Coturnix japonica: one gene and its partners. The protein of the gene in region 1 interacts with the protein of each later gene in a pairwise test. Links are inferred from orthologs where the notes say so. Each region holds a gene or a part of one and is shown in the gene's direction. Other genes may lie near its edges. The genes, in order: KIFC3, MFAP1, PRKAA2, ZGPAT, FAM161A, HSBP1 and BYSL.

Region 1 (4,086 bases):
AACAGGGCATGACATGGCACAGGATGGCATAGGATGGTTTGGCATAGCATGGGATGGGGTGGCATGGCATTACATATGATGGCATGGCATGAAATGGAGTGATATAGGATGGCATAAGATGGCATGGAATAGAAGAGCATGACATAGGATGGCATAGCATGGGATGGAATAGCATAGGACAGAATGGCATGGAATGGCATAAGATGGTATGGCATAGGATGGGGTGATATGGCATGGTGTGGAATGGCATAGCATAAAATGGTATGGTATGGGATGACAAGATGGCATGGCATGGAGTGACATGACCTGGGGTGGAATAAGGTGGTATGGCATAGTGTGGCATGGGATAGCATGCTGTGGAATGGCATAGGGTGGCATAGCATAAGATGGCATGGCATGGAATGATATATGATGGCATGGCATAGGATGGCATGACATGGGATCGCACAGGATGGCGAGGCACAGCATGGCAGAATATAGCGTAGCATGGCATGGCACAACATGGGATGGCATAGGATGGCATGACATGGCACGGCTCTGTCCTAGCACAAGGTGGAAGAATGAGCAGCAGCCTGGCGATTGGCTCAGCCCAGATAAGAGGCTCCTTTGTACTGCAGAAATGCTGCTATCACGTGCAGATCTCTCTGCTGCCATGGTTACTGCCTGCTGCAGTGCATGCAGCACAGCGGTGTGACCATGTTGAGCTGGGACATGCAGCATTAGCATGGCTCTGGGTCCTGCTGCAGCACTGGGCAGTGTCCCATCGCTTTTTACACGAAGGCTCTTTTCATTAAAGTGTTTTCCTGTGCGCTAATTACGTTGGTTTTCCTTCTGTAAATGAGCCCGATATGATCTGTGTGTCTTGGCAAACAGCCTCGAGAACAGTAACCAAAGCCTTTTTGTTTGATCGCTGTTTGCTTTGCAAATCTCCCTGCTCTCACCGTTCCTGGCTGCCTTCAGACAGCCTGCACGTGCGGGTTGATGGGAGGGAAATGGGGCTCTGTGTCATTCCTGCTGCAGGAACAGGAAAGGTTTGGGTGTTCCTGAGACCCTGGGGTGGATGGCTGCACTCAGGGAGCAAACGTGCTGCCATCTGAGCACTGTTATCTGCAGAGGGAGAAAAGTCCACCTGTCCACCCATCTAAGAAATAGGTTGTGTCAGCAATTTGCAGGGCTGGGTTTTAATCTGCTCTTAAGGCACCGGCAGACAGGAGCAGAGGAGACGTCGCTTTCTCCTCCACTGCAGACAGAGTTGCTCTGCAGCAGCCGCCCTGGGGGCCCTTTGGGGAGCAGGCAGTGCCATGCATGCGCTGGGTGCTCTGGCTGCACTCTCAGTGCTGGGCTGGACTAAGGACAGCAAATGGAGGAGCGTGGCTCTGCAGAGCACCAGGGGACTGCCAGGAGCGAGGCGGTGGGCAGCAGGGCCCGGCCCCCAGGTGAGAGACATGGGGTGGGAGCGATGGCAGTGAGCTGCAGTGTCCATCCATCGCCATGCAGCTCCAGGTGCGGGTGTAGGGCTGTGCATTATAGATGAGAGCTGTGAATAATGCATGGCAGGGTAAGTTTGCAGGCCGAGCAGTTGGGAGGCGACAGAGCTGTGCCATTGCTCTCCCCTTCCAGAAGGGCACAGCAGCACTGCTCTTCCCACAGAGGCTCCTATGGCTGCGTGTCCCTGTGGGATTCAGCTCTGAGCAGCCAAAGCCACGCACTCAGTGTCCCTTAGTGGCACGGCTGCTGACATCAGCCTCCAAACTCAGTTCCCTAAATTATTCACAATTACTGCTTGAGCGTCTCCTCCAAAACCAAACGTGCTTCCGAGGGCACTAAAAATAGACAGCTTCGCCGAGGACGGGATGCCTTTTTTAAAGGAGACCGCTGCCATCCTTTCTGCCTGTATTTGCACCTCCTGGCTCAGCTCCTGGGGAGAAGGGCAGGGATGGGGCCAGGCCCTGCAGGGACCCTCCAGCTGCACAGCAGGAGAAAAAGACAGGGCTGCTGATGTTGGGTGGGTGAGTGGGGGCAGCTCCGGGTCACCTGAGTGCTGCCCTATCTCAGCATCGCTGCCTGCGGGTTGGGTTAATTCCCACTGTGAACTTGGAAACGAGTACAAATTTCTCAGGAGCACACTAAGACTTAATTAAAACTCGTTAAAGAGCTCAGATGGCAACGAGGGACTGTGGGGTTTCGTTAGCTGCTCCTGTGGGCTCAGCACGGGGATCCCCTCACTGGGGCTCTCAGGGAGGAGTGGAGTTACAGCACTGAGCTGCGTTATCATTAATTGCTCTGTGGGGATGATTCTCGCTCCATCTGATGATCCTCCCGGTGGGAATTTCCTACAGAGAGCACCCAGGTGTGCCCACGCCTGCATTCCTGCCATCAGTTTGCTGGAAGGGAATGGAGGGGGAGGTTAAACTTTGGCCAGGATATCGTATTTTCCCCCCATCTCCCCCGAGGTGTTACAGATGTAGGTTAAATATTTGCTCGGGGCAGAGCAGACTGCAAATGCAAAGGGCCCCCATCGGCACAATCAATGGGGCTTCCCTCCATCCACACTCGTGGGCAAATAGGGGGGAAATGGGAATGAAGCCGCCTGGCTGAGCCGATCCCTCATTGCATACACACGCACAGGAGGTGGCAGCGGGGCTGGCCGCCCTCCTGCTGCTCTCCCAGCGCTCATTGATCCCGGGCCGGCACTCGGATGTCTGCTCCCAGGCTGGCAGCGAGGAGGGATGCTTTGCAGACGGGGAAAGAGCTGCTCTAAAAGGAAGGGCAGAGCCCGCGGCGCCGCGTTGGAACGTGGAGAGAAAGCAAAGGCAGCACGCAGTGAGCTGGGGCTGGAGAGAGGGGGGTGGGGGGGCAGCCCTATTGCTCGCGCAATATGAGGGTGATAGAGGGGCTGCTTCCAATGCGAAAGAGCCCTGAGGGTCGGGATTTCCATGCTCAGCCCCGAGTACCATCCTTAGGATAAACCCCACCGGCCCGGTGGGCACCCAGATCTCCTGGTGCATTGGGGTCCTGCTCTGGGAGCCGTCCATCTCCCCTCACCCATTTAGTCTCTTCTCGATGCAATTGACGCAACGTACGCCCGCTGCATAATTGCAATGCCATCAAAAAACCTGAAGCATTCAAAGGACAGGAAATGACTTAACGCCCAGAGCTATTTGCATAAACATTATTTTGCCCTCACAGCTCGTAAATTAAGGCAGTGACAATACGACATTTAGAGTCGCTGCTGGAATGCTTACAGTCACCTCGTGTCCGCCCGTGTCATCGCTGAACCAGCGGCAGCCGCTGCACGGACACGGGGAGCCCTGCGTGAACACCTACAGCACCCACAGTGGGGCTGAGAGAGACTATATGGGGCTGAGAGGGGCTGTGGGGGCTGGATAAGGCTATGAGGGGCTTTAAGGGGCTGAGAGGGGCAGGTCGGGGCTGTGTGAGGCTATGTACAGCTGAGAGGGGCTATATGGGGCTCTGTAGGACTGAGAGAGGCTGTGTGGGACTACGAGCAGCTGTAAGGGGCTGAGTGGCAGAGTTGGGCTACGTGGGGCTGAGAGTGGCATTGCGGGGCCGTGCATCCCCCAGGCACCGCCGCCCGTCGGGGGTCCCGGGCGTTACCAGGGCAACGAACCGGGGCGGAGCAGCCGGTGCCGACGCCCGGGTGGGCGGGACCGGGGCGGGGAGCGGAGCCGCAGCGGGCGGCCGGTGAGCGGCACCGGGAGGGAACCGGGAGCGGGCGGTACCGGGAGCGGGCGGGGCCGGGCCGGGCCGGGCTTCCCTTTGTGTGCGGGACGGCGGTGGGAGGGACCGGGGTGCGGAGCGGGACCGGCGGACTTTGCGAGGTGCCGAGTCGCTCTCCCTGCGGCAGCCGAGGGGTCGCGGAGCCGGGGACCCCCCGTGCCATGCCGGCAGCCCGCCCGGGCCGGGAGCTGCCCCTGCAGCGTGAGTAGCGCCCAGCTCCGCGGAGGGGCGGGGGGAGGAACCGGCAAGCCCGCATTCTTCGCATTGCTGCGCGGCCGGGGAGCGGGAGCGAGCTGCAGAGCTGCAGGGGCGTGGGGTGCCCTGCGGGTTGCGCGTCCTGCTGCT
Region 2 (4,093 bases), on another chromosome or scaffold:
TGATAACCACACAAAATTGATATCTCAGCTGATGACTGGGAGCGGAGCAGGAGCTGGGCACAGAGCTCTAATTGTCATCGGGACATCAAGGCCAGGAACACCAGGAAGGACTTGCCTACCCCCAAGCACTGCTGCTGCAGGAGCACAAAGCCACCAGTGCCCGAGGCAGCGGGACAACTGCAGCACTGGGGTCTGGCTGCACGCACAGCAGAATCACAGGGACCCTGGAGCGGCCAAAAGCTCTGCCTGGGCCTGCTCAGTGGCAGCTCTTCTCCTGCCACAGCACCAGCAGGGTCAGGCTTACCCAGGAGCTGTTGTGCCCAGGGGACCCACCCTGCCAGCACAAGGGAATGCTGAGGTCAGTCCCCAGGAGCAGGTCTCACTGCCTGGCACCCCCGTGCTGATTTCCCGGAAGATAAAACCTCTTCCCTTCTTTTGGGGAGGCACCGCAGCGCTGCAGACGCGGTTGTGGTGGCTGGTGACCCAGTTTTTCCTGGCTTCAAGAGAAATCTTATCTCCTGTGGTTGGCTGCTACCGCGTGGGCAGCTGCTACGAGTTGGCGCTGGGCTGCTTTCCTGCGAAACCCAACTGGTGTGTGAAGGGCTCTGACGTGAGCAGCAACAGCTGGGGCAGGAAACCTGCCCGCTTCCATGTAGGGGCTGCTCCTGCGGGTAATTCCCTCTGCCCTGGGCCGGTGCTGCGGGAAAGTCCTGGCAGCCAGAGGGCGGGGGACAGCCCGGGGAGAGCCCTGCAGAGCGATGGTAACCGGTAAATTCAGCACCGAGGTACGCCGCGCATTCAGCACGATGGTAACCCGGGCATTCCAAGCACCGATGGGCAACCCGTTTCAGCACCGTGGTAACCCGTATTCAGCACCGATGTAACCCGGTATTCAGCACCGATGGTAACCCGGTATTCAGCACCGATGGTAACCCGGTATTCAGCACCGACACTGAGCGCAGCCTCCAGCCGCAGCCACACGAGCAGCAGGGGCAGGACTCGGCAGCCGGCCCCGGGAATCCCGGGCAGGGACCCGGCGCGGGCCGGGGCTACGTGCGGCCGGCTCCGCAGCACGTCACCACTCCCGAGCCCCGAAGCGATGAGCGGAGAGATCACAGCGGGGCCGATCTGAGCCCTGAGGGGAACCGAGCCCTGAGGGGAACCGCCGCTGCACCGCGACCGGACCGGGCCGAAACCAGCTCCACATCCGGCCACAGGAGCCGGAAATGACCTCCACGCTGAGCGTCACTTCCGGCGGCTTGCGACGGTTCGGCGCGCGTTCACTTCCGGTACGCCGGCGGAAGCGGGAGTTGCAGTTCCGGGTGAGCGGTCGGTCTGTCGGTCTGTCGGTCGGTCGGTGCTGTGAGCGGCTGCGGTTCGTCCCGTCCCGTCCCGCCGCCATGTCGGCCCCCAGCGCTCTCGTGAAGCAGCCGCCCATCCAGTCCACGGCGGGCGCCGTGCCCGTCCGCAATGAGAAGGGTGAGTGCGGGGCGCCGGGAGGGGCGGGGGGCGCGGGCACGGCGGCGGCGTGAATGTTCATGGCATGAATGCACATGGCTGCCCATGGCGCCCTGCTCATGGCCCGGCTGCCCATGGCTGCCCATGGCTGCTCACGGCTGTTCATGGCCCGGCTGCCCATGGCGCCCTGCTCATGGCCCGGCTGCTCATGGCTTCCCGCTGCTGTTCCTCCCGCTGCTGTTCCCCCCCCTCCCGCAGGCGAGCTGTCTATGGAGAAGGTGAAGGTGAAGCGGTACGTGTCGGGGAAGCGGCCCGACTACGCGCCCATGGAATCCTCGGAGGAGGAGGACGAGGAGTTCCAGTTCATCAAGAAGGCGAAGGAGCAGGAGGTGGAGCCCGAGGAGCAGGAGGAGGAGGTCGCCAACGACCCGCGGCTGCGGCGGCTGCAGAACCGCATCACTGAGGACGTGGAGGAGCGGTGAGTGCTCGGCTCCGGGCTCTGCTCCCTCCTCGTGCTCCCCCCCAGCTTTGTGTTTCCGGGCTCCTGAGCACGCAGGGGATGCCTCTTTCCTTCACACGCTTCGTGGTCCCGGGTCTGACTACGGTCTCATTAGAAACAGATCGCAAAGATTTCTCTTCTTTAGTCTCCTTGTGTTCAGAGCTTCGTAGTCGAGTGGACATTTGTTGCAGGCTGGCAAGACACCGCAAAATTGTGGAGCCTGAAGTGGTCGGAGAGAGTGATTCTGAGGTAGAAGGTGAAGCGTGGCGTGTGGAGAGAGAGGACACCAGTGAAGAGGAAGAGGAAGAGATCGATGATGAGGTTCGTTATATTGCTGAGCAGATGTGGCCTGGGAAAGTCCCCTTAGGCCCTGTCTGGAATTCGTGCTTGCAGACACACGTGAACTGTGGTGAGACTGGGTGGATGTTGGGACCTGAGTTAAAGCCAGCTGTGGTGTGACCACAGCCTGTGGGTTATGGGGCACCAGGGAGGTCACCTGCGTTCTGAGGTGTGGGCTTATATAAGCAGTCAACATCATATCATATAAGCTCAACATCATGCTTTTTATATGGAAAAAGGAAGGAAGCGATAGTGGGGCTGGTTGGCTGAGTCTGTGTTTGATGTGTCTCCATTAGGAGATCGAGCGTCGGCGTGGGATGATGCGTCAGAGAGCGCAGGAGAGAAAAACTGAGGAGCTGGAAGTGATGGAGCTGGAAGATGAGGGCAGATCTGGAGAAGAGTCTGAGTCAGAGTCTGAGTACGAGGAGTACACAGACAGCGAGGATGAAATGGAGCCACGTCTCAAACCTGTCTTCATCCGCAAGTAGGTGATAAGGTGATACAGCTGCATGGGCCAAGCACTGCATCAGGGATGGGCAGTGACTGACCTGGTAGGGCATGGCTGGGTACTTCCAACTGGGGACTTTAGGCAGGTACAGCACAACAGAAACCAGGTAGTGTGCTCCAACATGTTCCACAGCCAGTAGCAGGGTCTCCCATCACCTTTGTGCATGTCTGCAGATGTGAGGAGACTGAGTATGGTCGCTCTTGAATGAGCAAAATCAGAAAGGAGAGAGCCTTGGGACTTGGCCCTGCCGTGGGGGGCATAAAGACTAAAAGAGGCTGCAGTGGGAGCAGAGGTCTGCAGTGGCATGTTGAAAGGCTGAAGGCTTTTGTGGTCCCTGCTCACAGGAAGGACCGGATCACAGTTCAGGAGCGAGAAGCAGAAGCCTTGAAGCAGAAGGAGCTAGAACAGGAGGCAAAGAGATTAGCAGAAGAGAGGCGCAAGTACACACTCAAGGTACAGCGGGGCAGACTGGGGCATGCATGTTGGGGCAGCCATTGCAGTGAGCTGAGCTTGGTCTTGGCTTCAGATCGTGGAAGAGGAGGCAAAGAAGGAGCTGGAAGAGAATAAGCGCTCGTTGGCAGCACTTGATGCTCTCGATACAGACGATGAGAATGATGAGGAGGAGTACGAGGCTTGGAAAGTACGTGAGCTGAAGCGCATCAAACGGGATCGTGAAGAACGAGAAGCGTAAGTACTGTCTGCTTAAGGCAGGGGAGGGTCCCTGCAGTCCCAGGCCCTGCAGGACAGCGGGCAGTTGAGGCGTCTCTTTCTCAGTCTTTGTTTTGGCAGCATCAGGAATTTTCTTGAGGTGCTTTACTCCATTATGGAGTCAGTCAACGTATTCGTCAGAAAGTCCCGGGTGGCAGCAGCTGTCCCATCTTGGGAGGGCACTGAGGGATGCAGGGGCTCAGGGTTTCTCTTTTGCCCAGCATGGAGAAAGAGAAGGCAGAGATCGAGCGGATGAGGAACCTGACAGAGGAGGAGCGCCGTGCCGAGCTGCGAGCCAACGGCAAAGTCATCACCAACAAGGCAGTGAAGGGCAAATACAAGTTCCTGCAGAAGTACTACCACCGTGGCGCCTTCTTCATGGTGAGTTCTGCTGCCAGGCCTGGGGCTGCGTGGACCACGTGGCTGTTTTGGGGGAGTTTTCCCTAGTGGTACCCAAGTAAGGGCTGGCCAAGCACACAGGACCAGAGCTGGCCCTCAACAGCAGCGTGCTGCTGAAGTGACTGAGGGGATCTGAGGTGCCTGTCAGGTCTGGCAGGCAGGGTGAGTAAAGACACGAATGC
Region 3 (4,078 bases), on another chromosome or scaffold:
TTAGAGTGTGGATTGCCTTTCTTTTGGGGTTACAGCTGTCTTAACAAGTAAAATGGGAAATATTCATTACAGGAGAGAGCTGGGGCTGCTGAATGGGTGTTTCCTTCAGGACAGGTTTGCTTTTCTTTTTTTTTTTTTCATTTCTAATGAGACAGAAACTACAGCAAGAAGAATCAGCCCACTTAACAAAGCCGTGTTATTATCTAATTTACAACATTACAGCAACAGACTGTGGGCTGTCCCGTGGCTGGAATGCAAAGGAATGGATAATTCCATCATTAGGATGAGCTGTTAGCCCATGAGAAGCAGCAGCTGACAGCACTGCCAGGGTGTGGAGATGGTTTCAGCTGGCTGCACTACTGATGTGTTCATGTTTTCTTCCCTGTGAATCTGTTTTGTTCCCTTGTACTACCACAGCTACAGACCCGTGGGGCTCCTGTTGCCGCTTTGCCAAGTGCAAACATTCAGCCACCACCACATCCCTACAGCTGCAAACAGTGGGCACCACCATCACCCCAAAACAACCACACACATCTGCTTACCCACATGCACAGCGTCTCCATCTCTCCCCGCCTGCAGTTCAGGGCTAAGGGCAGCAAGGAGGCACCCACATTGCCACCTCCCTTCCACCTGCCCATCTCCCAGCCCAAGCAGCATCCCTGTATCTTATGAACTGGATGCAATTGCCCTCCCAGGGGTCATCCCATGCAAAGTGTCGCCATAAGCTGTGTATAACCCCAAGCTACGCCATGAGGGAGGATCAGCCCATGGAAGGTGTGCCAACAGGAGGACATCCCCGGGTATGTGTGGCATCCCCAAATGAGTGCACTCCCAGGCAGGTTTGACATCCTCTGAACAGGTACACCCCAATCTTGGGGCATCATCAGGGGGTGCACCCTATGACCAGATAGCACCCCCAGGAGGCTGCCACCTTCTCCACCCCCATACAGACCCCACACCCCAGAAGGCGGGGGCACCCCAAGGGCAACGTCCTCACCCCAATGCAGGGTACACCCTAGGGGCAGCGTCCCTCCTCGGAGGCTCCACCCCAAAAGCGCTCAGTGTCACTCCCAAGCAGGTGCCAAACACTGGGGCCACCGTCACCCTACAGCGGGTGCTTCCCGGGGAGGTGCCCCCATCCCCATCCCTATCCCCATTAGCTGCCCCCATCCCCGCCCCCGTGCACCCTACACGGCCCGGCCCGCCGCTCCCCGCTGCGCACGCCCGATCCGATCCGAGCCGTGCCGACCCGAGCTGTGTCGTGCTATACCGTGCCGGCCCTGCGCATTGTGGTCCTCCGCCGGGGGGCGAAGATGGCCGAGAAGCAGCAGAAGCACGACGGGAGGGTGAAGATCGGCCACTACGTGCTGGGGGATACGTTGGGGGTCGGCACCTTCGGCAAAGTCAAGGGTTGAGTACCGAGGGCTGAGGGGAGGGGAGAGGAGGGCGGGGGGAACCCGTTCCGTGCCGAGCATCATCCGCGGGGCGCGGCGGTGGGGAGGGAGGATGTGACCCCTTCCCAGGGCGAGGGGGTGAGGGCGTCCTGGGCAGCTCTTGAGGATGATCCCCAGGGCAGCACCCACCGAAACTTTCCTCCCTCGGCGGCAGGAAGGTGATGCGGGGGGGCGGGTGCCGGTGACTTTCCGCTGCTGTTTGAAGAACGCTTCGGTCCTGGGAGGTGGGGGGTGAGGAGGTTCCGCTGCTGCCCCCACCCATTTTGGGGTGGGGGTGTCAGCGATGGAGCCACGCGGGGATGGATGTCTCTGGTTGATGGTTCTCGCACTCAAGCCAGGCACTGGCTTTGCTTTTCCCGATGCAAAGATTTCTATTCCTTTCAGTTCTACCGTTATGTGCACGTTTTCCCCCCGAGTCATGATATTAACAAGCCCCACAAAAACAAAAGAACAAAACACCTCTACACAAACGTGTGATACAAGCAGAGTGAGGAGCTGTGATTCCCAGCAGACAGCAGGTCTGGGTGCTGGGGGCAGAGTGGAACCCCATCCTGCTCAGCTGTCCCCTGCCCACGTATCTAAATAACCCCAGATTGACAGCAGGGCAGAGAAAACACCTTAACCACTGCAGCTAAATCCACCTGTGGCCATTAATCAGCCCCCTAAAAATATATTGCTATGTTTAATCCCAAACCACGAATTTACCAACCAAAGAATTATCAGGATAAACACTTCTAAAAGAAAGGACCATTCAAATCGCTCCTGTGTACCAACAGACCTCAAAAAGTGCCCCAAAGGTGATTTCTTTTTTCTTGCAGACCAAATGAAGCCTGCTAACAACAACCTGATTTCCTTAAGGACCCTTCAGGAGTAGCGTGAATATCTCCCCCCCTTCCCCCCCAACACCATATATCACCCAATTGGTTAAGAACAGACTTCCAAAGGACATATAAAATAACATAAAAAGATTTCCAAACTCCATCCATTGTGGCTTAGCAGCTTTTCTACGTGTATATTTTCCCCCTTTAACTCCAGTTAGAGTTTGACTGGAGCAATGCAGAATAGCACTGTTTTAACCTAATGAGCTTTCAGGTGTGCTCATCATGTTTGGCAGGAAACATGGGAGAGGAGACTTCTCTTCCTGATTGCTTCACGCTGTGTGTTTGTTGTATATGATAGTTTTGGTGGTGCCATCAGCAGCATGTTTCTTATTGCAGATGCCCCATCCCTGGAGGTGGCCAAGGCCAAGTTGGATGGGGGCCCTGGGCAGACTGATCTAATAGATGGCAACCAGCCTATGGCAGAGGGAGGTAGAAGTAGATAATCTTTAAGGTCCCTTCCAATCTAAGCCATTCTATGATTCTATGAAACAATGAGGGAAAGGATGTTATCTCTCCCTCTGGAAGTGGGAAGGAGCAAGTGGGACACATCAGTGCTGTGAGTGCACCAGGCATATCCCACCCCACAAAGAGCTCTATCCCAGTCACGGCCATTGCACCATGAGCAGTTCTTGGGTTATGTTTATCTCCATTACTCAGCCTCAAGTAGGGGTCAATTCCCATTATACATTTGTTGCTGAAAGACAAACATTGCACTGAGGGATGATCAACTGAAAGAGGCTGAACAGATGAAAGAAAGAGGAAAGGAAAGGTGATACAGCATCTGAGCAAGTGGCACTGGGACAGAACAAATATGTCATTGCTAAATATATGCTTTGGATTGATTTCATTTGTAACTTCAGGCTAAGCTAAGGACCAGCACAGCTGATAGGGAAGGATTTTGCTTTCCCTTTCCTAAACTTCTTCTAATCCTTGCAAAGCATTTGTGAAAAGCTGAGCTGCCCATGCTTCCTGAGCTGCACCAAACACACAGGGTAGATGTGACACTGAGGGACATGGTCAGTAGGCATTGTGGGGATGAGCTGATACTTGGTTTTGAGCCATCTGCCAGAGGACTTCAATGGCTATCTCAGCTTACTGTAGGATAAATCTCTCATCTTTTTTCTCCTCTCTTATAAAAATAATAAAACATGGAGGGTCTCCTGTTAGAAACTCATCCTATTATATCTCTTCCCTTCTTTCTCCAGCAGCCTCCAGTTCTGGAGTAATGCAGGCAGTCCCATGCATAAACAGATGCAGTCACAGCTAAGGATGCTCACACCACGTCTGCTTTGGTGCCAGTTTTTGGAGTTTACAGGCTCTGTTCAATGCTCAGTGCTTTCAAGTCACTGTCAAATCCATCCCCTCTGCCTGCCCCAATGGAGCTGAGTTTGCTGATTCTAAGCTGCGGGGAAGCTGACTGGAGTACTTGTCACTAGAAGACAAGACACATGCTCAAATCCCTTTTCTAATACTGCCACTCAGCCCTCCCTCCTCCCCTCAGGCTTTAATCTAGGCAGTGAGTGGGAAGGAAGGAGCAGGATTTCTCATCTCCACCTGACATCATCACTGCCCAGCCTGGGTACCAGCACAGGACAGTGCCATTAGCACAGAGGAGCATGTGCATCCTTTCCCTGTTCCATGTGGCAAAGTTGGGTTTGCCCTGGCTAAGCCCATGGGACCTCCCAGTGCTTCTTGTCCCACCAATGTGTGCTGGGTTGGAGACTGTGAGCAAAGGGAAACGTT
Region 4 (3,805 bases), on another chromosome or scaffold:
AGCTGCTGAACAATTCTGTGGTGGGAGCAGTACATTGTATTACATCAAGAAGGGTTTTCATGCTCTTGAAGGTTTTGCAAATCAGCTTTGTGTCTGTGTGTCACCGGTTTGTCTTTTCTGTGTTACAGTGATAGATTCTGGGGTTCCAGAGAATGGAGAATGGGTTCCTGCATGCAGTTCCTCTTTCGGTGGCTGGGAAGCCCACACTCGTGGCATTGGCTCCAAACTGCTCGTTCAGATGGGATATGAGTTTGGAAAAGGTAAGGAAAGAGGGTTATCATGGTGGTGTGAGAGCCTGCCTGCATTGCAGTCTCAGTCTTGTGATGCATCCTAAGGCTAGGTAAGAAGACCAAGATTTTGGACGAGGCAAAAACTTTGCTGAAGGGCCTGTTAGATAAGGCTTGAGGTATGTGATGAATCACCCCTGGGTGGAAATGTTGGTAGGCAAGAAGAGAACTATTTAATCGAAGTACAGCCGCATGTGTGCACCAGCTCTTGTATGGTAACAGCAAAAGTTTGGAGGCATTTAAAACCATGGTCAGGTTAATGATTAAAGCTGTGAGAACTGTTGAATGAGCTGTTCAAAGGCTTTAGGTAGGTAGAAAGGAACTGATTTATGAAGCTTGTGATGTCTGTATTAAAGCATCTCCTGGCTCTAGACGTGGACTTCAAAGCCTGCTAAACTAGCTTCTTACTACACAAATTGGATGGAGCCTTGGGGGCTTTGGGAGGCCAGTTTGCTACTTGATTTATCTCGGATTCTCCCAGAGGAACCAAACCAGTTTTAAGAAGAACCTTCCTTGAGAAGCCAAGGATGTGAAACTGAACCTTGTCTTACAGAAACTGACCTGGTTATTGGCCTTGGGCTTTTTATCACTTATATTCTGCTTGAGGAAGGCTCCTGTTGTCGATTTACATAGATGAGCTGCAGCTTTTGGCTGTTTCCCTTGATTTGGATGGTAGTTACGACATTTTGCACGTCCAAAGCCTGCTTGCTTGTTCTAAGCTTGTCACTGTCAGTGTGAGTTTGTGGTGGGATCTGACTTGGAGAGGGGATGTCCTTCCTCTTGGTAATGGCTTGGTGACTCTTATGGCTTTTCCCTCTCAGGGCTTGGGAAGAATTCTGATGGCCGAGTGGAGCCGGTGCAGGCGGTGGTACTTCCTCGAGGGAAGTCCCTTGACCAGTGTGCTGAGGTGCTTCAGAGAAAGAAACAGGGGAGGTTGGACCCTGGCAATTCAAAGAAATCCCGAGCAAAGGGAAATAACACTGGGAGGTCCCCTGCAGGCAGCCGCAAGCCACCCCGCAATGTGTTTGACTTTCTGAATGAGAAACTGAGAGGGAAGAACACAGGAGAGAAGGTTGGAGGTATGACACTGCCGGAAAGGAAAAGCAAAGAGATCTACCATGCCAGCAAGAGCACCAAGAAGGCCCTGAGTGTCCGCCTCTTCCAGACAATGGAAAAGATTGAACAAACACAGAAGGATATAAGAGGAATCCAGCAGGCCCTGGCACGCAATATTGGGCGGTACGAAAAACTTCTCTTTTGGGCTGTGGGATAAACTGAGGATTCTTGGTGCACTTGGGAAGGTGTGGGCTTGAAATTAGGTGTGGGAGGAAGGAAGGAAACTATTGTGCATGACCTGGGGAGAAGTAGAGGGAGAGAGCCTTTAACGTGTGCTTCAGCCCAGCTTGGACACTGGCAGGTGTGTCTGAGGTCCTTTGGGTGGAATTCAGGCTGTGTTAAAGAGAGGAGCTCTCTCAGGAGAAGTCCCATAGTCCTTTCCTTCCCATACCCATCTCTGAAGTGCTGCTGCTGAGCAGCACTGGAGGATGTTTCCTAGCCCAGACTGTGCCGAGCATCAGGTACTTCCTGCCTTCAACAGGTGCCTTGGGCTGATCCCATAGAAAAGGGAAGACCCTCTTAGGATGGTGACAGACCTCTGATCTTAACCATGCAGGATGACACATTGCTATGATGCTTTTTGCTTTCAGGCACAGCGTTGCTGCCGCTCAGCTGGAGGAGAAGCTGGCTAATGCACACAAACAGCTGGGGCAGCTGCAGGCCCAGGAAGCCAGTCTGCAGCGGGAGCAGAAGAAAGCAGACACACATAAGAAGATGACTGAATTCTAGTCTCTGAGGAAGGTGTTTGACTGCCATGGTTATCCTTCTAGCTAACTCTTGTGCTCATGGCCTCAAAGCCTGGATGAGCTGTCCTGCTTCTCTGGGCCTCAGGCTGCACTCCCAGCCCAAAAACTGGGCTGAAAAGCAGCAGTTCCTGAAACCAGATGCTTCTGAGCTCTGCTGGGAAGAGGAGGAGCCCACATCTGTCCAGTCTTGAACTTTGTGTAAGGACTAGCTACAAGAAATACAGTTCTCTGCTATCTTGCACACTTCTTTCCTCTCATCTCTGCAGTAGCCAGAGTGTGTAGCTGCTCAGATGATAACGTTGCTGGCTACGAACAGGATGAGGAGGGCCTTTGAAAGCCCCACATCCTGCCATCGGTTGTGGCTTGTGTTTGCAGCCAACTGATGAACACAAGTGGAGGCAGGGTCCCAGGCACGTTTTGGCAGAGCAGAAAAGGCATATGTTAGTTGAGAACAACAAAGGCAAATTGCTTCAGCTGCTCTCTACACCTTCTGTCGTTTGCTATGGGGAGAACTCTTAGATAAGGAGCAGTTTCTCATAAACCTTGTGTAATGCATAGACAGAAAACTGGCAGCTCAGGGCTGGGTATTAGGGGCCTCAAGCATCATATTTCTTCAATTTCAGTGTAAGAGTATCCCTAAGACATGCTATAGCCTAACTGATCGACTTGGCATGGGAAGCTGTGTGGTTCTGTGAGTGCCAAAGCTGGGGGAGTAAGACAGCAGAGTAACAGATTCTCAAACCTCCTCGCTAGGAACAACACTACAGAGAACCTTGGGCTTCTGTCCTTACTTGAGATTTTCAGTCCCATATGGCTCTCTGAATGCCCATCCTTTATTAAGAAACTTCAGGACCCAGTCTCAGGTCAGACTGAGCACGAGGACTGGGAGGTGTGTGTGTGTGTGTGTGTGCTGAGCACACAGCCCTGCCTGGGAGCAGGCCAGGCGAGGTGCCCTTCCCTGCTGCATGGTCAGTGCTCTCACAGGAGGGATGTCCTCTCCCCAAGGTTGTATTCCCTGTTGGCTGCAGTTGGCCGTTACCCCAGAGGAGAGCTGGTGATTTCCTCAGCCTCTCTTTCCGGTGGGATTTATTCATTGTAATTGTGTTGGTTTTTTAAAAAAAACAGTCATCATAAATTGTTAGTGATTTCAAGCCAGGACACGTTTTTTTCTTAATTAAAGAAAAAAAAAAAAAACCGAAACCCAAATCAATTTCCTTTTATTCTGAGTCATTTTCTGTCTCATGGAAAGCTTTGCTCCCTTCATGCCACCTTTTTATCTGCTTCTGAGAAGATTCTGAAGCCGTCAGCTTGGGCAGAACTGCATCACCCTGTGGGGGCCCGGCCTGTCTGATTCACTGCCGAGCTAACCAGAAAACCTACGGCTGAAGGAGATACCATCAGAGCCCAGATGTGATTTAGCACTACTGCAGACGCCCTTCGGAAAACAAAGAGCAACGGCGAAGATAAGCGAGATTAATACAGTCAGGAAGCCTGTCAGAGTGCCTGGTTCCTCCTGGAAAGCAATGGGATTCTGCTGTGAAAGGTGCTGTGGGCTGCCTCGAGTGCGACGCATCCGTCTGTTTGTAACTCATTTGGCTGAAGTCTCTTCATTGTTGGGAATTGGTGTTCTCTGTGCGCTGGGTTTGACTCAGGGCT
Region 5 (2,762 bases), on another chromosome or scaffold:
GCCCTAAGGTGACTAACTGCTGCAGTGATGCTCTGTGCCTTTAAATACCTAGAGAGAATTCTTTTGTACCTCTACAGATGCAATTAATTATTTCATGCAGTGAATATGGGACTTAATATGTTCAGTTGTACACCATTGTCAAGTCCTTACACTAAACACGGGGCTTTACTAATACTGGGTTTTCCTAGAAGCAGTAATGCACATTCCTGCACGTGTCAATAGGAAAGGGAAGAACGGCCTCAGTTTGTCAGGATACGCTCTAATCCCTTACAGTGGCACATACCCATTTATACCAAGCCCTTTTTCATCCCCCCTCCCCCCCTCCTCCATTTCTTTTTTAGTATTTCAAATTTCCTTTGCCGAAGCTTCCTTTGAAGTCTCGTGCCTGATTTCAAACAAACTCAGCCTTAGTTTGTTTCTCCACCCAGGAATTCGCATGAGGAAAAGAGAAGGCTGGAAGAACAACAGAAAAGGAACAGGACAAAGCAGAAACAAAGAACAAAGAAACTGCAGAAAATTGTCACGACTCGGGCTGAGGCCAACGACCCCCATCAGAGCCTCGCTCAGACCTCTAAATCCAAACTAAAGGCGTTCAGGTATTTCATTGCATCCCCTGAATCCTGAGCCTCTCTGCAGAAACTCAGAGACAATATGGAAAGAGGTGGGGAAGGCAGAAGAATCTATTATAAGAAACTATACTCAGGCAGGCCCCGTTAGCCTCACTGGACAGGACTTCTCGCTGCTTATCCAAGGACACTACTTCAGAAATAGTTTTGTCCACTGGTATTCCAAACAAGGATGTTCTGGCAGTGAGGCCCTGGCACAGTTGCCCAGAGAAGCTGTGGTGCCCCATCGCTGGAGGTGCTCAAGGCCAGGTTGGATGGACCCTGGGCAGCCTGAGCTGGTGGGGGCAGCCCTGCCCACAGCTGGGGGTTGGGGCTGGGTGGGCTTTAAGGCCCCTTCCAAATCATTTTATCATTCCATGAAGTTGAGGAGGTAAACCTAATTCCACTGTAAGACAGTAAAACCTTATGCTTTTTTTAACCAGGGACCATGCTTGTCATGGAGCAATTGGAAGGAAGTACTTCTTGTGTTACAGACAATTGACTTCTGTTGCACTGTGTTTCCTTTAGGAACTCCGCCAAGCAGAGAATGCAGGAGTATTTGCAAGAGTTACAAGAGATGGAAGAAAGAGTAAAGCAAAGGCCATTGCTCTTGGAAAGAGTAACACAGGTTGCCTTGTTTGTCTGTTTCTTAGACTCATCTCCAGTTAAGTGTGTAGGGAACTTTTAGTCAAACACTGTTAAAAGTTACATGAAGTTATTTAGACAAGTTTTTGTCCATTTTAATTTCTACTGCTCCATCTCCCTACAAATCACTTTTCTGTGACCAAGCATTCATGGTGCGTTTGCGCAGGGAAATGAGATGTTTTAAAGACATCCAGTGGTTCAGTTATAACACACACAGCACTGAGTCGAACACATTTACAGCAAAAGATGAGAGGTTTAATCTGGGAGAATACTAGGAGATCTCAAGCATTCCCCATGTCTACTGTAAAGCTGAGATGCAGAATTTTCACCCCTCTGTCTCAGTAAAACAAAGCATTGGTAGCACAGTCCCCGACTGCTTTTGGAATAGAGAGGCAGCAAGGCATAGACAGCCCATTCCTCCCAGTTCTCTCATCCCTCCCAGGTGGGTTTCCTGGCCCAGCAGTGCTGCAGGGCAGAGCATGCATGAAGGCTGGGGACAAGGCCTCCTCACCCAGCTGTCACTTGGAGGAGCAGAGCTTACACAGCTTGACAGAGAGATTCAGATTTGCACAGCACATCAAAACAGCACTGTGAGAGAGTAAAGCAATGTCATGTTTCAGAGCAGCAGCTCCCCCAGAGAGAAGCAGCCCTAGGAAGAACACAGCTGATGTTTCAGGTCTGTACCTTCTCCCCGCTCCCTCAATAGCATTACACAGTATTTACAGCGCTTTGTTACCCGGCGGATGTAGGGAGCAAATTGCATTTGAACCAGTACAGAAAAGGGAGGAAGATCTGCTATAAAGTTCTCAAGTAGTTTTGCCATTCTTAGCTGTAGTGAATAATCGAACTTAACTTCTCACGTGCAAATAATGAAACAGTATTAATATAAGCAAAAGTATCTGAAGACGGGCATTTAGCTCATACTTCACCCTTGTGTTTTTCCTACAGAATAATGCCAGAATAGCTGCAGAAAAATATTATTCTAACAGACTGAGAGCTCTGGGGGTGTGCCCAGACTTGGTTTCCAAGAAAGGACAAACAACTAAATTGCAAGAGTACTGCAGTGCTGAAGATTTTGATGCCAAAGAAAGGTAGAGATCACAGAAGGGTTTTGGTTTTGCTGCTGTGTACCGAGTAGTAATGAGAGCCATTTTTAATGCTGAGAAAATCATTTGCAGTACTTCCAAGTAAATATTGCAGCGTGTGTGGTTGTTTTGCCTGAATTGTTTCCTGAGTCAGAGAAGGGCTCTGGGTATGTTATACACCATGCACTTCAAAGAACAATTCAGGGTAATATTTTCAGTCTGGTTCTTTAACCGTGATTTCTGGAAGGCTGCTGAGAAGTCATTTCATTCTGCATCACCTTCACTTTTATTTCTGTTTTTTAAAATAAGCCTTATTTAAGGCTTCTCAATATCCATTTGCTGTTATGACAGAAAGGAAATGGAAAAGCCAAATATATAAGCAGTACTGTTACTTTCTAGCGTAAAAGCAGAGTCCAGCCTTCCCTCT
Region 6 (3,458 bases), about 13 Mb from region 1:
CTGGAAGTGACATGCTCAAGTGGTGCAGGGGAAGGTATGACACTGCTGTCCCACATCCTTTGGTGGTCTGCAACAGCTGAAGGGCAGCTCAGCCTGAGCCTGCAGCACTGCCTGCTGTGTGACTCACATCAGCACTTGGGAGCCGAGACATCTCCTCTTCAGTGTGCATTAACAGACCAGGTATGACAGCCTTACCAAAGCAGTAGCTTATGTCGCTCAGAGAACGGTCATAAAAACAACTGCCTTTTGTAAACACATCCAACAAACAAATGGGAGTTAATTTCTTAGCCTTTCTCAGAACTAGAAGCCATATTTACATTTAAACAGACAACATTTCCCCAAACTGGCACTAAATTGCATTTTTTATGACTACTGCAGTGTTTCCAAAGGCGCATTGATAATGCAAATGCCCTGCATCTCACATTTGTTAGCAGTTATGGGATAAGGCTGAACGTGCCAGCGGATCGCTTCAACTAGAAATGAGGCATTGGGGAATTATCCCCTACTAATGGGAAACGTTCTTCATTTACCAACGCACCTCTGGTGTTTCTGTTGACTTGAGTTTGTTTAGATCTTGTTGCAGTACATAATAACGAAGCTGTGTAAACATCCATTCCCTTCACAGATGAAAACTACGGATGCGGGGCTTGGGTTGAAAAGCCCATAAATCTGCATTTAGGAAACGCTGCTCCCTGATGTGAAAATCGAGTGTATGAAGCTTTGCAGTCCCTTAAGGACCGTATCACTGATCTGTGGCAGATATGCATCCAACCTAATGCATTCAGTGCTGTTATTTGCTCTTCCTTTCATGAAGGCAATACGCTGCAATAAAGCACCATCTCCAGCCACCAACCTGTGCAGCAGCCCTTATTGTAGCTTCTAAGCCCTGTTCTGAACACAGACAAAATGCAGGCTCATTCCCTTTCATATTAAAGGCTGGAAAAGGTGAATGCTGCCTCACACTGCACCACCTGATGCCACAAAACATGCTCGTGCCCAACTTGCAAAGTTACCTTTAAAGAGCATCAGAAAAGCACTATATCTCAGCATGTGGGAAGCTTTTACGCTAAGCATAATGTTACGGTTAAGCTTAATGGGAAATAAGGGCACTGTACTGCCTTACAACACAGACCTGCTCACAGCCCAGTGCTGCCTACAGGATGGTGATGGAAAGCAACGAGGGCCGGTCAAAGCAGAGTGAACTGCCTTAAGTGAAGGCTGAGTTTGGATATTAGGTGCTGCTCCTGCTCCTCCAAACCGAATAACACTGAGAGACTAAAGCAGCCGCCATGACCGCAAACTCCTCCTCCCTCGCGAGAGCTCTAAGCCGGAAACCTCGAGGCGTGGCCCGGAAGCTCCGTTGCTGTGTAGGCCGGGGTGAACCGAGCTGCTGCTGAGGCCATGGCGGACACGGACCCCAAGACCGTGCAGGATCTCACGGCTGTGGTGAGCGCTGTGTCCCCGGGGAGGGTGTTGGAGGAGCCCTTAGCCTCGTTACATCACCGTTAGTAGGAGGGTGTGGGTGAGGACGGGGCTGTGGGGGTAGAGAAGAGGCCTGGGCTGTTCAGTGGGAGCAGCTGCGTTTGTCTGTCTGCGTTTATTATCTCTCCCCTATAACTTTTCATTCTGTATGTACATATAAATATAACGCGTTGGGGGTTGTGCTGTGAGGCTGCTGTGTGTGTTCATAGCACTACGAACATCGTGATGAGTTCTGTAATGAATGCAATCAGCCTGCTGTGTTTTCTCCCCTTCTCTCAGGTGCAGACGCTGCTTCAGCAGATGCAGGATAAATTTCAGACCATGTCTGACCAAATAATTGGACGGAATATCCTTTTCTAAAGCCAAATGGCTGCTTTGAATGCTCAAGTGGCTTAACATATCTCTGTGGGATTTGTAAGGTACATTTAAAGCGGCCATAAAAGTTTGAGCAGTGCCATGATTGCAACCAAACAACACTAAGAACCTGATCACTACATTGTAGTCATAGTCCTTAACCAGAGAACTCGATGACATGAGCTGCCGCATAGATGACCTGGAGAAAAACATAGCGGATCTGATGACACAAGCAGGAGTGGAAGAACTGGAAGGAGAGAACAAAGCCCCCGCTACCACTAACAAGAGTTAAGGTGAGACAGTTGGCCTCAGGTCACTTGAAATTACTGACTTTAAAAGGCAAAAATGTATTTTTTTATCTGTGAGATAGGCTGAAATTCCTTATAATACAAGAATCTTATGAAGCTTTCTTCACCAGATGAGGGCAATGCAAGATTGCCAAGAATATTCCAGCAGAAGCAGGGGCTGTGTGTTACAATGTATGAGCAGGGATGTTTTGTTTTGGTTCAATACAGAACTTAATTTTCCTCATCCATAGAAAGCAATGGGCAAATGAACACATGTGATAGTAGAGAACCCTTTTTTAAGGGTGTTAAATGAGAGATGTCTCAGCCCCTTGTGTCTGAAATTCAGAGGTCACATCTAAAGCACTGTGTAGCCTGTTTGAAACAGGCATACTTGCATGTTAAGTGATGTATATTTTGAGTGCTTAGACCAAAAAAAATACAAGTTGTTATGGGCTTCCTTGCCCATCAGTGCCAATTTCCTCAGCTTGAAACTCACAAATGAAAACTTCTGATCAATGTGTTTCTTAAATTCTTCTCAATCATATTCTTGTTATGTTTCCCCCCCCCACAGGTTGCCAATAACTTAAGGTGAATGCTGGAAGACTTTGGTGGTTTTTTTTTTCTACAAGCCCTTGGAATAAACAGAAGAGCTTTTCGCAATTACTGTGTGTAAAAGCATTTTTATATTGTTACAGAGCTTGCATTCTTAATGTATATTGTATAGCTAGGGATAGGTTAGTTTCTATTTCAATTTGTGTACTGTAATTTCACCTCTCAAATTCTTGTTATGAGGATCAATTAGTTGTTATTAAAACACAGATCTTATGGATCTCAATTATCGGGTGCATTTTTTTTTGTGAGGTCACTTTTTTCCCTCTTATACTTTTTCTAGACGTCTCATTTTTGATATCTAAACAGCCAGTGACTGCTGTCCAATGGAGATCTTGAGTTGTCCTATGTAATTTTGTGGAGTGAAGCACAAGTTTGAAATCTAGTATTAATCTTAGGTCCAAGCATCATTCTCTCAAGTAGTGGATGACTGCATTGTTTTCTCCTCATAAATGTAAGTAAGGTGATTTTTGGAAACATAAGACATTGAATATCAAAATCATATCTCATGTTGATATCACCATACCTGTGTGTTCCTAGAGTGTAAAACAAATACGTGTTTAACAGTAGAGACATCTGTACAGAGCAAAGCTACCACTGCCATTCTGATCTGTTAGAGAGACAAAGAATTCTCAGTTACAGAAAGTCTCATCATGAGATTCTGGCTTTTGTAACACTGTAAAAACTACACTTTGAAACTGACAGAGTGTCATTTAGGAGCATCTT
Region 7 (4,277 bases), on another chromosome or scaffold:
CGACAAACTTCTCTCCCAAGAGTCGCTGTTAACAGCCTGTGTGGCCACGACATCTCTCAGATGTGTGATGATAAAGCCTTGGGATTTAAGGACTTGCGGTTCCAGACCAGGGATTATGTACTAATGGACACCCAGAAAACAACCTACTAAACCAAAGCAGAAGCAGCCGGACTGCCAGGAAAATCTGGTCCTGGACTCAAGCTTAGGGTAAAACAAGCTTCTCTTTAACCCCAGCTCAGCAGCAGCTCGCACCACTACATCTGTGTTTATTCTTATGAAGCAAAACCAAGGCATTTCTCAATCCCATCCCTGTTAGCTCGGAACACCTGCCTGGGTAGATGCGCCATCATTATTAATTACAGACCAGTTAATAGGATTTGTGTGTTTAGGGAAACACATGCTCAGATTTTACAAGACCTTTCAGCACCTCATCTCAGATCTGGGGCAGCACTGACAGCACAGAGCTCTGTGACCAGGAGAAAGCAGCTTTAGAGCCAAAGCTGCAGCAGGAGGGCATTGAATGCATTAATACAACCTGCCAGCAACGAGTAACACAGATGATACATGGAAGGGATGGGGACTCAAGGTTTCTAGCCAAGCCTCCAACATGGGATTTCCCTGCCCTGGATTTCATACCCTTAAAGGTGATTCTCACCTCCACGGATATCCCGCGGGCGCTGGGGCCCATGGTGACGGTTCCCACCTTGACCAGGAAGTCGCAGTACTGGTACCGCGTGCCCCGGCTCTCGATCTTGTTTGCCTTGGCGTTCTGGAAGAATCCCTTCAGCTTCACCATCAACGTGTCGAAGTTGGCGTCCGCGATCAGGCAGGGCCCGTTTTCAAACAGAGCGAAGCAGCTGAGGGGATACTCGGAGTTGTGCATCACGTACATCAGTTTGCCCGTCTGCCCTGAAAGAAAAGCAGCGTTTGGCCCGTTCCTTTGACACCCACCCTTTAAACATTCGTATGGGTTGATAAGCGCCCCCAGCCCCTCTCAGCCTTCTCCTCTCCATGCTGACCAGCCCAGCAGATGCCCCATGTCCGCACTACACCCGCCCCCCCCGGGTTCCCACCTTGGCTGCTGATGGCGGCTGCCGTGTGATACGTCTCACAGTCCACCCCGAACGCTCCGTGTTTCTCGGCTCCCAGCAGCTCCAGCTTCTTGCTCAGCAGCTCCACGGTTTGCTGCACGCTCTTACCCTCCAACACGGGCACCTGCGTCACGCTGCGGGGCGACAAACAGCAAAAATGGCCGCGGGGCCTCCACAAAACCCAAACCCAAACCCAGCCCCAACCCCATCACCCCATCACCCCATCCATCACCCCATCCATCACCCCATCCATCACCCCATCCCCACCGGCCCCTCACCAGGTCACCCCCATGGCTCCGTCCCGGCAGTGGCGGTGCCGGTACCGGAAGGGGCGGGGCTGGCCGTGCTGGCGCCGGCGCGTCTGATCGCGTGTCGCTGTTGCGGCCATGCCGAAGGCGGCGCGTGTGGCGGAGCCGCTGCACGAGCAGATCCTGCGGGCTGCGGCCCCCACGGTGCGGAACCGGCGGGCGCGGGACGCGGGGCGCGATGCGGAGGAACGGGACGGCGGATACGTGGGGCCGCGGTTGTCCCGGCGCATCCTGCGGGAGGCCCGGAGGCAGCAGGAGGAGCTGGAGGCCGAGCACGGCCCCGGGGCGCCCGCACCGACAGCCCCGAGCGGGCGCGGGTCGGAGGAGGACGATGAGGACGAGGAGTGGCCGTCACTGCAGCGGGCGGCGGAGTGGGACGGGACGGGCGGCGGGGGGGACGTGCAGGTGGATCCCGAGGACGAGAAGGCCCTGGAGATGTTCATGAACCGCGCGGCGCCGCTCAGGTACCGGAGGAGGGGTGGGAATGGGCGGGGGGTGGACGGGGAGCTCCGGTTCCCCATCACCGACCCCTGCCGCCCCCCCAGGCGGACGCTGGCGGATGTGATCATGGAGAAGATCACGGAGAAGCAGACGGAGGTGCAGACGGCGCTGTCCGAGCTGTCGGGCCGCCCCATGCCCCAGCTCGACCCCCGCGTGATAGAGGTGTACAGAGGCGTCAGAGAGGTGAGGGCACTGCGGCCCCCCCGGCCCCACACACACCTTTGTGGGACCCCCCAGCTCCCGGCGGAGCAGTGCAGACAGCACTGCTGTGTCCCTCGGGTGTTGTGAGCACATACGTGCTGTGTGAGCACACGCAGTGGAGCTGCACAGGGAGCAGACAGGTTGCTTACAGCCTTGAGACAAACCCTTCCCCCTCTGCTTCCATTGAAGGTGCTGTCCAAATACAGGAGTGGGAAGCTCCCCAAGGCATTTAAAATCATTCCTGCCCTGTCCAACTGGGAGCAGATCCTCTACATCACGGAGCCCGAGACGTGGACGGCAGCAGCGATGTACCAGGCCACGAGGTGGGACCAGCTCAGTGTGCTCTGAGCTGTTGTTTTCTCCTTGTAATGGAACGAGATGGACAAAATACCATCGTGTGTCCTACAGCTGCTCCTCCTGCCCTGTGCCTGTGGAGCAGAGGGGATCCTGATGCTGGGGGTGGATGGCTCTGGAGTCACAGCTCACTCTTCATGCTTTGCATTTCACAGGATATTTTCATCCAACCTGAAGGAGAGGATGGCCCAGAGGTTCTACAACCTGGTGCTGCTGCCACGGGTCAGAGATGATATCGCTGAGTATAAGCGCCTCAACTTCCACCTCTACATGGCTTTGAAGAAGGCTCTGTTCAAGCCAGGAGCCTGGTTCAAAGGTAGGGGCTCCCTGCAGGGCTGCACTCCACCCCTGGGAACCTGCTGCAGGGCAGGGCAGGGGGAGGAAGGTGGAAAGGTGCCCATGATGCAGAGATGTTATTTCCTTGGGTTAAATGTGCCCTGAGAGAGCAGAGATTGAGCCTCACACCCCACAGCTCTGCCTGCTGCAATGACCAGTGGTGCCCAGCTCTTCTCTCCCCACAGGGATCCTCATCCCCCTGTGTGAATCGGGGACCTGCACACTGCGGGAGGCCATTATCATCGGCAGCATCCTCACCAAGTGCTCCATCCCTGTCCTGCACTCCAGGTAATGCACTGGGGCAGTCACTGCCCCTCAGCCCATCCAACAGCTCAGAGTGGGGGAGCTTTGCTCAGGGCTGATTCAAAGCCGTCCTTTTTGTGCCCTGCCCTCACCTGCTGCTCCCCTTGTCCCCACAGTGCAGCCATGCTGAAGATTGCTGAGATGCCATATAACGGTGCCAACAGTATCTTCCTGCGGCTGCTCATCGACAAGAAGTACGCGCTGCCGTTCCGTGTGGTGGATGCCCTGGTCTTCCATTTCTTGGCCTTCCGCACAGACCAGCGCACGCTGCCCGTGCTGTGGCACCAGAGCTTCCTGGCTCTTGCCCAGCGCTACAAGGAGGACCTGTCCTCGGAGCAGAAGGAAGCTCTGCTCGAGCTGCTCAAGTTCCACAGCCACCCACAGATCTCAGCCGAGATCCGCAGGGAGCTGGTGAACTCCAAGACACGGGACGTGGAGGGGCAGGAGCCGGCAGTGATGGAGTGAGGGGAGGAAGGAAGGAAGCACCACAGCCTGGCCTGGCTCCTGGGGGCTGCTGCACAGCTGGGAGCAGCACGTCCAGGGGTCTGGGAGCATCCAGCCCTGGGATCCCACTGCTCATGGTGCTGTAACCACGGGGCTGGGCTGGGCTCCCTGCGCTGCTTGTGTCAGGGCAGCCCTACAGCCCTGGCACCCAGGACAGCAGTAGGGCTTGTCCTGCTCCTGTTCTGGAAAATAAAGCCCGTGCTGGGTCCTTCCTGGAGCAGCTCTGACCTGCAGTTGCATCTTTGTGTGGCTGCATCCGTGCATCGTCCTGCCCTGTCCCCCTCCCCTCGTCCTGTCCCCAGCAGGGGGCAGAGCAAAGCCACCAACAGCGGCTCCTTGCAGCACTGCGCTGCAGCTGTCCCGGCTGCAAAAGGAGACCAGGGGCTGTGCAACTCCCTGCCCTCCTTGTGCTCTGGTCAGCAGCGAGCACGTTCCCAACTGTGCTGTGCATTAAGCAGCCTCTGTGATGTTGGGCAGAGGGGCTGGGGTTAAACATCTTCCTGTGAGAGGTGGGGGCAAGGGGCAAGGCCATAACCCACACGTGGCAGCTGCCTTGAAGTGCCACCTCTGCTGTAAAATCCAGCGGGGCATCGCACAAGGCTCCGCGCTTACCTGGGTGCTCACCTGGACACTACAGCTCCTGCAGATGTCCAGCTCCTGTCCTTGCTCCTGGAAGCAT

What was found.
Region 2: the proteins of KIFC3 (region 1) and MFAP1 interact in binary tests that used the Homo sapiens proteins (3 or more experiments, as listed by UniProt). The two-hybrid records come from large-scale screens. The link is inferred for Coturnix japonica from reciprocal best matches to the Homo sapiens genes KIFC3 and MFAP1.
Region 3: the proteins of KIFC3 (region 1) and PRKAA2 interact in binary tests that used the Homo sapiens proteins (3 or more experiments, as listed by UniProt). The two-hybrid records come from large-scale screens. The link is inferred for Coturnix japonica from reciprocal best matches to the Homo sapiens genes KIFC3 and PRKAA2.
Region 4: the proteins of KIFC3 (region 1) and ZGPAT interact in binary tests that used the Homo sapiens proteins (3 or more experiments, as listed by UniProt). The two-hybrid records come from large-scale screens. The link is inferred for Coturnix japonica from reciprocal best matches to the Homo sapiens genes KIFC3 and ZGPAT.
Region 5: the proteins of KIFC3 (region 1) and FAM161A interact in binary tests that used the Homo sapiens proteins (3 or more experiments, as listed by UniProt). The link is inferred for Coturnix japonica from reciprocal best matches to the Homo sapiens genes KIFC3 and FAM161A.
Region 6: the proteins of KIFC3 (region 1) and HSBP1 interact in binary tests that used the Homo sapiens proteins (3 or more experiments, as listed by UniProt). The two-hybrid records come from large-scale screens. The link is inferred for Coturnix japonica from reciprocal best matches to the Homo sapiens genes KIFC3 and HSBP1.
Region 7: the proteins of KIFC3 (region 1) and BYSL interact in binary tests that used the Homo sapiens proteins (3 or more experiments, as listed by UniProt). The link is inferred for Coturnix japonica from reciprocal best matches to the Homo sapiens genes KIFC3 and BYSL.

Annotation. Positions count from the first base shown.
Region 1 is NC_029526.1:1,981,525-1,985,610, reverse strand, and holds the start of KIFC3 (kinesin-like protein KIFC3), read left to right. Parts: upstream 1-1,286; 5' UTR 1,287-1,301; coding exon 1,302-1,436; intron 1,437-2,742; exon of another isoform or gene 2,743-2,823; intron 2,824-3,640; exon of another isoform or gene 3,641-3,705; intron 3,706-3,748; exon of another isoform or gene 3,749-3,942; intron 3,943-4,086. UniProt on the Homo sapiens protein: Minus-end microtubule-dependent motor protein. Involved in apically targeted transport. Required for zonula adherens maintenance.
Region 2 is NC_029525.1:18,263,697-18,267,789, forward strand, and holds the start of MFAP1 (microfibrillar-associated protein 1), read left to right. Parts: upstream 1-1,293; 5' UTR 1,294-1,400; coding exon 1,401-1,479; intron 1,480-1,716; coding exon 1,717-1,936; intron 1,937-2,148; coding exon 2,149-2,278; intron 2,279-2,592; coding exon 2,593-2,780; intron 2,781-3,148; coding exon 3,149-3,257; intron 3,258-3,330; coding exon 3,331-3,491; intron 3,492-3,733; coding exon 3,734-3,893; intron 3,894-4,093. UniProt on the Homo sapiens protein: Involved in pre-mRNA splicing as a component of the spliceosome.
Region 3 is NC_029523.1:23,036,259-23,040,336, forward strand, and holds the start of PRKAA2 (5'-AMP-activated protein kinase catalytic subunit alpha-2), read left to right. Parts: upstream 1-1,278; 5' UTR 1,279-1,313; coding exon 1,314-1,410; intron 1,411-1,583; exon of another isoform or gene 1,584-2,326; intron 2,327-4,078. UniProt on the Homo sapiens protein: Catalytic subunit of AMP-activated protein kinase (AMPK), an energy sensor protein kinase that plays a key role in regulating cellular energy metabolism.
Region 4 is NC_029535.1:9,388,222-9,392,026, forward strand, and holds the end of ZGPAT (zinc finger CCCH-type with G patch domain-containing protein), read left to right. Parts: intron 1-128; coding exon 129-260; intron 261-1,108; coding exon 1,109-1,526; intron 1,527-1,993; coding exon 1,994-2,132; 3' UTR 2,133-3,305; downstream 3,306-3,805. UniProt on the Homo sapiens protein: Transcription repressor that specifically binds the 5'-GGAG[GA]A[GA]A-3' consensus sequence. Represses transcription by recruiting the chromatin multiprotein complex NuRD to target promoters.
Region 5 is NC_029518.1:13,371,497-13,374,258, forward strand, and holds part of FAM161A (protein FAM161A), read left to right. Parts: coding exon 1-8; intron 9-428; coding exon 429-596; intron 597-1,133; coding exon 1,134-1,233; intron 1,234-2,198; coding exon 2,199-2,341; intron 2,342-2,762. UniProt on the Homo sapiens protein: Involved in ciliogenesis.
Region 6 is NC_029526.1:14,758,421-14,761,878, reverse strand, and holds HSBP1 (heat shock factor-binding protein 1), read left to right. Parts: upstream 1-1,310; 5' UTR 1,311-1,401; coding exon 1,402-1,446; intron 1,447-1,761; coding exon 1,762-1,828; intron 1,829-2,006; coding exon 2,007-2,128; 3' UTR 2,129-2,129; intron 2,130-2,694; 3' UTR 2,695-2,958; downstream 2,959-3,458. UniProt on the Homo sapiens protein: Negative regulator of the heat shock response. Negatively affects HSF1 DNA-binding activity. May have a role in the suppression of the activation of the stress response during the aging process.
Region 7 is NC_029541.1:4,735,579-4,739,855, forward strand, and holds BYSL (bystin), read left to right. Parts: upstream 1-1,477; coding exon 1,478-1,863; intron 1,864-1,944; coding exon 1,945-2,083; intron 2,084-2,290; coding exon 2,291-2,424; intron 2,425-2,610; coding exon 2,611-2,771; intron 2,772-2,976; coding exon 2,977-3,079; intron 3,080-3,210; coding exon 3,211-3,559; 3' UTR 3,560-3,825; downstream 3,826-4,277. Other genes in the region: MED20 (mediator of RNA polymerase II transcription subunit 20), read right to left, coding at 656-909, 1,074-1,225, 1,370-1,479. UniProt on the Homo sapiens protein: Required for processing of 20S pre-rRNA precursor and biogenesis of 40S ribosomal subunits. May be required for trophinin-dependent regulation of cell adhesion during implantation of human embryos.